Linked DNA regions of Mus musculus. The protein of the gene in region 1 purifies or fractionates together with the protein of each later gene. This does not show direct contact. Links are inferred from orthologs where the notes say so. Each region holds a gene or a part of one and is shown on either strand. Other genes may lie near its edges.

Evidence for each region.
Region 2: the proteins of Tgoln1 (region 1) and Galnt2 purify together in Homo sapiens (affinity purification with mass spectrometry; 3 studies listed by BioGRID and IntAct, counting the BioPlex papers as one, with this or other methods). This does not show direct contact. The link is inferred for Mus musculus from reciprocal best matches to the Homo sapiens genes TGOLN2 and GALNT2.

The regions. Positions count from the first base shown.
Region 1 is NC_000072.6:72,614,193-72,618,337, forward strand, and holds the start of Tgoln1 (trans-Golgi network integral membrane protein 1 precursor), read right to left. Parts: upstream 2,809-4,145; 5' UTR 2,531-2,808; coding exon 2,485-2,530; intron 2,258-2,484; coding exon 1,332-2,257; intron 1-1,331. UniProt on the Homo sapiens protein: May be involved in regulating membrane traffic to and from trans-Golgi network.
Region 2 is NC_000074.6:124,230,226-124,234,200, reverse strand, and holds the start of Galnt2 (polypeptide N-acetylgalactosaminyltransferase 2 precursor), read right to left. Parts: upstream 2,808-3,975; 5' UTR 2,675-2,807; coding exon 2,552-2,674; intron 1-2,551. UniProt on the Homo sapiens protein: Catalyzes the initial reaction in O-linked oligosaccharide biosynthesis, the transfer of an N-acetyl-D-galactosamine residue to a serine or threonine residue on the protein receptor.

The sequences.
Region 1 (4,145 bases):
TCTGTAATGCTGTACTTCATTCAGTTCCTGAAATCAGAAGCACTTACCTAGATCCACAGAGAGGCCTATTTAAATCACACACACACACACACACACACACACACCCCACACACACTTTCTTTCCAGTGCTGGAGTGCAATCGTGGCATTGTGGATACTAGGCGAATGCTGTGCCAAGCATGTGATATGTGATATAGCACTATAGTAGAACAACTGTCTAGCATGCAGGTCACCTGTGTTCAACCTCCAACACCACAAAAGTAATAAATTGTAAAGATTTTAAAAGGGTTTGGTTATAACAAAATCCTTTATACTACTTAATAGGGACCAAGAGAGCAGGGTGGTGGTGATGCCTTTAATCCTAGCACTCGGGAGGCAGAGGGAGGCGGATTTCTGAGTTCGAGGCCAGCCTGGTCTACAGAGTGAGTTCCAGGGCAGCCAGGGCTATACAGAAAAACCCTGTCTTGAAAAAAAAAAAAAAAAAGGACCACGAGATGGAGGCTGAGGCCCGTGGAAATCTTTATGGCTTAACTGTGGGGCTAGAGTTAAAGGTCTACCAGTTCTTTTGCCAGAGTTCTAGGTTTAAGCAGGGTGGGGATAATTACTGATTGTTTCCTATCCACAAACACTTGCTTTGTGCCCACACATTGTTTCAACAACTTTTCTCTAATTTACTGCTCTCAACATGGACATTTAGATGTAAATGAAGAATGTACACTCTCCATTCTTTATGCCCAAAGGCTATCACAAATTGAACTCTTCAATAAGTCAAGTTACTGAAATTGTCTTCTAAATCTCATGGCTCAGTAGGAAATACAATAATTTTGTCATATAGAGTTGTTTCTAAAGTTGTTTCATGGGTAACACTTTAACCCCAAAGATGTGTACATTTGTGCAATTTCAACTCTTGTTGGTTGGCTTTCTACTTTTGGTGTTAGTAACTATGTAACTGAAAACATTCTTCCTGCCTCCAGATGGAAGATGGTTGGTATAGAAGCTAGAAATGGTAAACTATCTTAAGCCTGGAAAAGGGGGAAGAGGTCTACATATCAAGAGGCTGGGAATGATCTGAGTTCCAAGTTAGGGGAGGGGAATTACAGTTAGGTCAGGTCATGACTCACGTCCAACTTGGCACTTTACAGCAGAACTGAGAGGAAACAAGTCACATGATGAAAACACCTGATTTACAAAACTTAGTTTTATAAGCCCCAGCAGGGTCTATGGAAAAAACAAGATGATCTTAAAATTCTCAAAGCTCACAGGCAGATGAGTGACAGATAGCTGTCCATGAACAAAGAACTTAGGGTCCTGGAAATCCCAGTCCCCTCTTACCTTTCGTTTGTTGTGGTAAGCAATATAGAGGACAGCAACAAGAACAGCAGCGGTCACTAGATATGCAAAGAAGTGGCTGCTCTCTGCACTGGTGTTTCCAGAACTGTCCTTATAAAGATCATCCTTCTCATTCTTCATAGAGTCTGTAAGTGTCCCCTCTTGGTTCTCACTGGAGGAAGGGCCCGGCACCTTTTCATTCTCTTCTTCAAGTGGTGAGCCTTCTTCCGGCTCTGTGTCACCCTCTTCAATCTCCTTGGTTTCCACGTCTTCAGTAGGCTCTGAAGACTTATCTCCTTTCTCTGGCTTTAAAGAGAAGTCAGAGTCCCCTGCCAGTGTTTCCCCAGATTCAGTTTTGGAAGTAAGTGTTGGTTTTTGTCCTTTTTCAGTTGGCTGGACTTTGTCAGTCTTCGAAGTCTCCGTATCTGGGGAGATTTTGGAGGTGGGCTTGTCCAAATCAACTTTCGTGGACTTGCCAGAATCATCTTCTGTGGCCTTATTCGAACCAGCTTCTGTGGGCTTGCCAGAATCACCTCCTGTGGGCTTGCCAGAATTACCTCCTGTGGGCTTGCCTGAATCTTCTGTGGAGCTCTGATCAGACTTTTCCAGTTTGGGGTTGACTGGTGAGAGGGGCCGCGCAGTTTCGTTCAACTCGGCATCCGTTTTCTCGGGCTGCCTTCTGGAATCACCCAAACTGTGATCGGTCGCGGCGGTCCGCGGCCCAGATTCCGCCTTACTGGAAACTGCTGCCAAAGTCGTCTTGTCCTGGTCTTTTTTATCTGACTTCTGCCCCTGACCGTCGGTCGGCCTTGTAGTCTTTACCTGGTTAGAAGAAGGCAGGGGAGTGGAGGACTGTTTGGAAGGCTGATTCGGAGGATTCTGAGAGTCACCTGAGTCGGCGTCTCTCTTATAAACGGACGGCAGAGCTCCTGAAACAAACAGAAAAAACAAAAAACAAAAAACAGTAAGTCCTCGGAAGAAGAGAAGCGGGCTTGACTTCTGAGAGCCTAGCGGGGATGGCCGAATGGGAAAGCGGAGATGGCTAGAGCAGGGTCGGGCCAGACAAGAAAGACGCCGGCTCCCGTAGCGACCCACCAAGGTGAGGAATGGGGAACCTAAAGGGGAGAGTGAGCTGGGCTGGGGTGGGGGTCCTTACTCGCCACCGCGACACTCAGCAGGAGCAACGCAACCTGGAACCGCATCCTGCAGTCTGCGCTTCCGCCCTCTGATGACGTGAGAGCGGCGCACGAGATTTTCCCGAGCGTGGCCCCTCCCTTTCCGGCGGACTGTTTCTCTTCCGGCGCAGCCCCGCCTTAGGGGTGGGGCTACCGGGCGACAGCAGCCGTTGTCTGTGTGTTCCGGTAGAGTGCCGGAAGTCAAGTCCAGCTCTTTATTCCCCCCCAAGTCCCTTCTGTTTCTCAGCAGTCTGCGGGGCTCGGCGATCTCGTTCTTGTTCACTTGGCCTCGTTTTTCGGAAGCTGTTGCGACCGGCAGGTGCTGCGTCGCCTTCGCTGCTTATGATGTAGGGTCGTGGGGCCGGGCGCCTCTTTGTCGCATCCTCTGCTCGTGTTTCCAACCTCTCCGTTGCCGATGCTGCTTTCTCACTTCACAAACAAATGTACTCTCTTCAGCACTTGCCCATCTAGAAGCAAACACATTTCATCCTGATCCTAATCCCTTTCTTGGCTGTATCCAGGGCCCTCTGAATTTACCAAGGTTTTTGATTTCTTGTTTGTTCTTCTGAATTTCTATGTGTTTGAAACCATATTGCTATGTGGGCACCTGCTGCCTCCTGAGTGTTTGGGATTACAGGTGCCTCACCACGCCCCTGTTGGGCTATTTATTTATTTAAGAAATAAAATATCAAAGATTTACTATTTTTATTTGTGTATGTGTGTCTGCCACCTGTGTGTAGGTGCTCTTGGAGGCTAGATGAGGGCATCAGATGCCCTAGAGCTAGAGCTTCAAGCGTTTCAAACTCTGTGGGTGTTGGAAACTGAACTCTGTTCCTGTGGGAGAGCAACAAGCCCTGAGCCATCTCTCCAATCCAGGAAGTAAGGTACTTTGTTACTCAAACAGGAAGACCTTGAGTTTCTGATCTTCCTACTGGACTACTGGCTTGTGTCTCCAATTTATGTGGTACTAGCAATCAAATCGTGGTTCTATGCACACTAGACAAACACTCTTGTCTCATTCACCACATATATATTCTTTTTCTTTCCAAGACAGGGTTCTTCTGTTTAACAGAACTCGCTCTGTAGACCAGGCTAGCCTTGCAATCACAGAGATCCACCTACCTCTGCCTCTTGAGTGCTGGGGTTAAAGACATGCACCACCACACCACACAAGCAACACATTCTTTTTTTTTTTTTTAAGGTTTATTTTATTTATTATATGTGAGTACACTGTAGCTGTCACCAGACACTGGAAGAGGGAATCAGGTCTTGTTACAGATGATTGTGAGCCACCATATGGTTGCTGGGATTTGAGCTCAGTACCTCTGGAAGAGCAGTCAGTGGTGCTCTTAACTGCTGAGTTATCACTCCAGCCCAAGCAACACATTCTTATAATGCAAACAACAAAATAGAATTTTAAAAGAAATATACTTAAAAAAACTTTTTTTAGAGAGCCAGGTGATGGTGGGACACAACATTAGTCCCAGCACACAGGAGGCAGAGGCAGGCAAATCTCTGAATCAGGCCAGCCTGATCTACAGAGTGAGTTCCAGGATAGCCAGGGTTACACAGAGAAACTCTGTCTTGAAAAACAACAGCAACAGACATCTTTAGTGTCTAGGGAGATGGTTCAGTGCTTAAG
Region 2 (3,975 bases), on another chromosome or scaffold:
GAGGTGAGCTGACTTCCTGGGTTTTGCTAAATGGAGAACAGCAGTTCTCAGACTTGTTGTTTAGCAGGCAGGGCACACAGTGCACAGCCTGGCCTGGCTGCTGAAGCAGCAGAAATCCTAACAGGATGCCCTCAGACAATCCCCAAAGCACAACCCTGAAGCCTGGGGCCCCTTGGGAATGAAACAGCAGAGCATGAAGAACTATCTAAAGATGGAACAAGAGCCCGCTGTGATCAGCACCAAACACAGAAGAAATGCCATCTACTTATCGCTAAAAAAAAAAAATCTACAGGCTCTCAGTAAAGCTGCTCTTCTTATCCTCACAGTCATGTTGTACACGCTAAAGGAATCGCACATTTTCTCTTATCAAGGGGATGAGCTAAATGTGGAGAGTCGTCTAGTGTTTAAACCCACTAAGGGATCCAAGATGGCACTCCACAGTTTGGCGGCATCCTCTGTCTCTCTCTCAGGATCCACCTTGCTACCTCAATGGGAGCACTACTGAAATTTCAAAATCTGCAGTTTTCTTTTTTAAGATTTATTTATTTACTATATGTAAGTACACTGTAGCTGTCTTCAGACACACCAGAAGAGGGCATCCAGTCTTGTTACAGATGGTTGTGGGATTTGGTTGCTGGGATTTGGACTCAGGACCTTCGGAAGAGCAGTCGGTGCTCTTACCTGCTGAGCCATCTCACCAGCCCCAAATCTGCAGTTTTCACAGCACTCCCTTGCCCTGCAGATCACTAAACCATGATACCCTGAGCCAGGACAACATTTTATGGCTCACTGACAACAGAACCCCAGGTCATTGATCTGCTCTTTCTATAGGGTCTCCATCGGATCACAAAGAGGTCTTGGGCTTTCTTCACACCTAAAGCTAATACCTCTTAGGCATCCAGAGAACTTTAATGAGGAGACAAGCCAACTGCTTGCCAACAGACACCCCCAGAGGTAGGGTGACATCCCTGGGAGGCTGATGCCACAGGTGCCTTTCTACATACATACCTGTGCTGATCCAGGACTTCATCTTTGTGTGACTAGGAAAAAGCATTGTCAGCAGCCAGGGTATTCCCAAGGCGAGGGAAGTCTCCTGGGGAAGCAAAGTCCGTACACACCACACTTGCTCAGAGTCACCATGGTTCTCAAAAACCTGGCTGCTGCCACCAGCCACGCTTGCTAGACTTAAACCCTAGCAAGCAGGGGCTCCCAGCACAACAACCATTCAGAAAGCAGGGCTAATGAGAGTCAGTGTCCACCCCACACAAGCCAGGCACAGGGAAACACTGTTTCCATGTTCGTTACTGAAAATAAAAAACGAATCATGAACCCCTCCCAGAGTCAAAAAGACACTTCCACCTTCCTCCCTCCCTTCCTTCCTCCCTCCGTACCTGCAGCTAGGAATAACTTGAAGATGCCAGAGAAAAAGGGAATCAGCCATGTGCCTTTGACATTCAGTGTCTGAGTAGGGGTAAAGTCGGCGGCTGCTCATGGGCAGTCCATCCTACTCAAGATTCTACCCCCTATCTCCCTAAGCCGCGATCTACCTCCATTCTTTTCTGGTCGTGTACTGTTACTCAAAATCAAGTAAGGAGGGCTACAAATCTTTGGAAAAGATAACTATATTTCGAAGCTCGTTAGCTAGTAAAACACCACAAACCCCTCAGGAGAGAATACAACAGCCTAGACAGCACCAACCAAGGCAAGGATCCCACGCTCGCTCGGTGTCCACTCGGTACCCAAGCCGAGATGACTGCCGAATCAGAACCTGTAAGCTCTAAGACTCCCGGCCTCACTACCGAACCCACCAGAGACACACACCGAGGAGGGACTTGGGGTTAGGAAATGCGGACTTGGGGTTAGGAAATGCAAGCGCAAAAGGCTAGGTAGTTCCCGCCGCCGTGAGCGGCCAAGGGCCGAGGTGGGCAGTGTAGCAAGTAGAACGGGAGGTCTGACAGAACCACGGTACGACCTCACTGCCGGGGTGCTGGATGGGGAGGATAGGGAGGGATCACGCCTCTGATCACTGGAGCACCAGGGTTCCAGCCCGACCAAGGTCCCCAAGATCTGGGCGCAAGACGAGAGGGTCGCGGGTTCCAGTTGGGCGGAATGTGGCTCGGGGAGCACCGGGTTTCGGGTGACAACGATCCCCAAGATCCCGGAGCAGGGAGTGGGGCTCCGGGGTGATCTGGGCGGAGTACGGAGCAGGGGGCAGGGAGTCCGGCGGAAGGGTTGTCCCTATGATCCCGGCACAGGGAGTGGAGCGCAGTGTCGCCAGCGAGATAACAGCCTCCAAGATCCTGGCGCAGGGCGGTACGTGGCTCCGGGTGCCCGCGCCCCGCATGCGGGAGGCAAGTCGCTGCACCCAGAGCCGCGGGTGAGCCGGACAGGGCCGGAGCTCGCGCCGCTGGCCTGAGGGCCCGGAGAAAACTTGAGGCGCGCGTCCCGGCCAGGGTCCCCACATCTGCTGCCCCGAGCCGGGGAGCACTCTCGGTGCACGGCGCCTCCCCGCTGCAGGCCCGGGTCGGCGCACAGGCCTCGCGGCACTCACCTTCCTGCCGGCGCCGCCCCCGCCCGCGGCCAGCGCGGAGCCGCCCCCCGAGTACATGTAGTAGGCGATGCCCAGGACCCAGAGCAGCGCGAAGCACAGCAGCATCCGCGAGCGCCGCCGCATCCTCGCTCTGGGCGGCCGCCGGGCAGCCTGGCGGCGCGGCGGGCGGAGCGCGCGGCGGGCGGAGCTCGGGGCGGCGGCGCGGGAAGACGCGGCGCTCGGCGGGCGGCGCTCGGCGCTCGGCGCTCGGCGCCCGGCAGGAAGCGGCGGCCCAGCGGCGGGGTCAGGGAGCAAAGGGCGACCAATCGACGCTGAGGGGCGGGCGCGGGGGCGGAGCCGAGTCTCCATGGCAGCGGCGCCCCGCCCACTGCGCGCCCCCGGGAGTGGCAGGTGGAGGCAGCGGGCGCGGACGCGCGGTTCCCCAAAGACTTGGAATGGGCCAGTCTGCAGAGATCGCCCCGGCCCGCCATCCGTCACATTCACTATTTGGGCAATAGTGGGTTCTTGGGTTTTTATTTTTTATTTGTGCTTTCTCTTTTTTAATATAAGGTCTCATCCTATAATCCAGACTGACCTCGAACTCACCATCCAGCCCATGCTGGCCTCAATCTCGCAGCACTCCTTTTGCATCAGACTTCTGAGTCCTGGGATAACAGGAATGCACTGCCCTGTGGTCTGAACAAGACTAAGACAGGGAAGGTAGATTTCAAGGCGCTTGCTTGTAAGGATGACCCTTCCTGCTCTTAAAAGCAAAATGGAATGGTGGTGGTTTTAAATAAACGTGAAAAAGAGGGGAGATAGATGGTAATTTATGTTTTTAAATCTTTTCGGTTTTTTATTGGTTGCTTTCTTGAAGGAATGAGGTGAGCATAGTAACCCACTTAATAGAGCAGGCAGCAGCGAGTTCCCTGACAGCAGCTCTGGTGACTGTAACCTTGTCCATGACCTTGTGACTCTAAGTCCCTGTGTCTGGAAAAGAATTTCCAGTACTTGAGAGCCTGCAAATATTTCTGAGATCTGCCCACACTGCAGGAGGAAGGAACTCCCTGGGCGGCAGTCTGCCCAATCCTGAACAAAGAGCACCGCAAGCCTTGGGCTACCAGGATTCTGAGCCTCACCTGAACTTCAGACTTCTCAGAAGTGAGAAGGGAAAGCCTCTTAGTTCCACCAGACACCCCATTCCTGAAGACACCCCATTCCTGAAGACATCCCATTCCACCAGGCACCCCATTCCACCAGGCACCCCATTCTGCAAACACCCTTCACAGAAGACAGGTTTCTCATACCCTAAGAAGTTCCGTTCCAAGTACTAGAATCCGAGCACTGTACTGACCAGGGAAGAGATTTGTAAAATACTGAAGAGATGACAGGCTTGAAAACACCCAAGAGTCTTGGGGACAGTCAGATAAGTGGGAACAACTGTT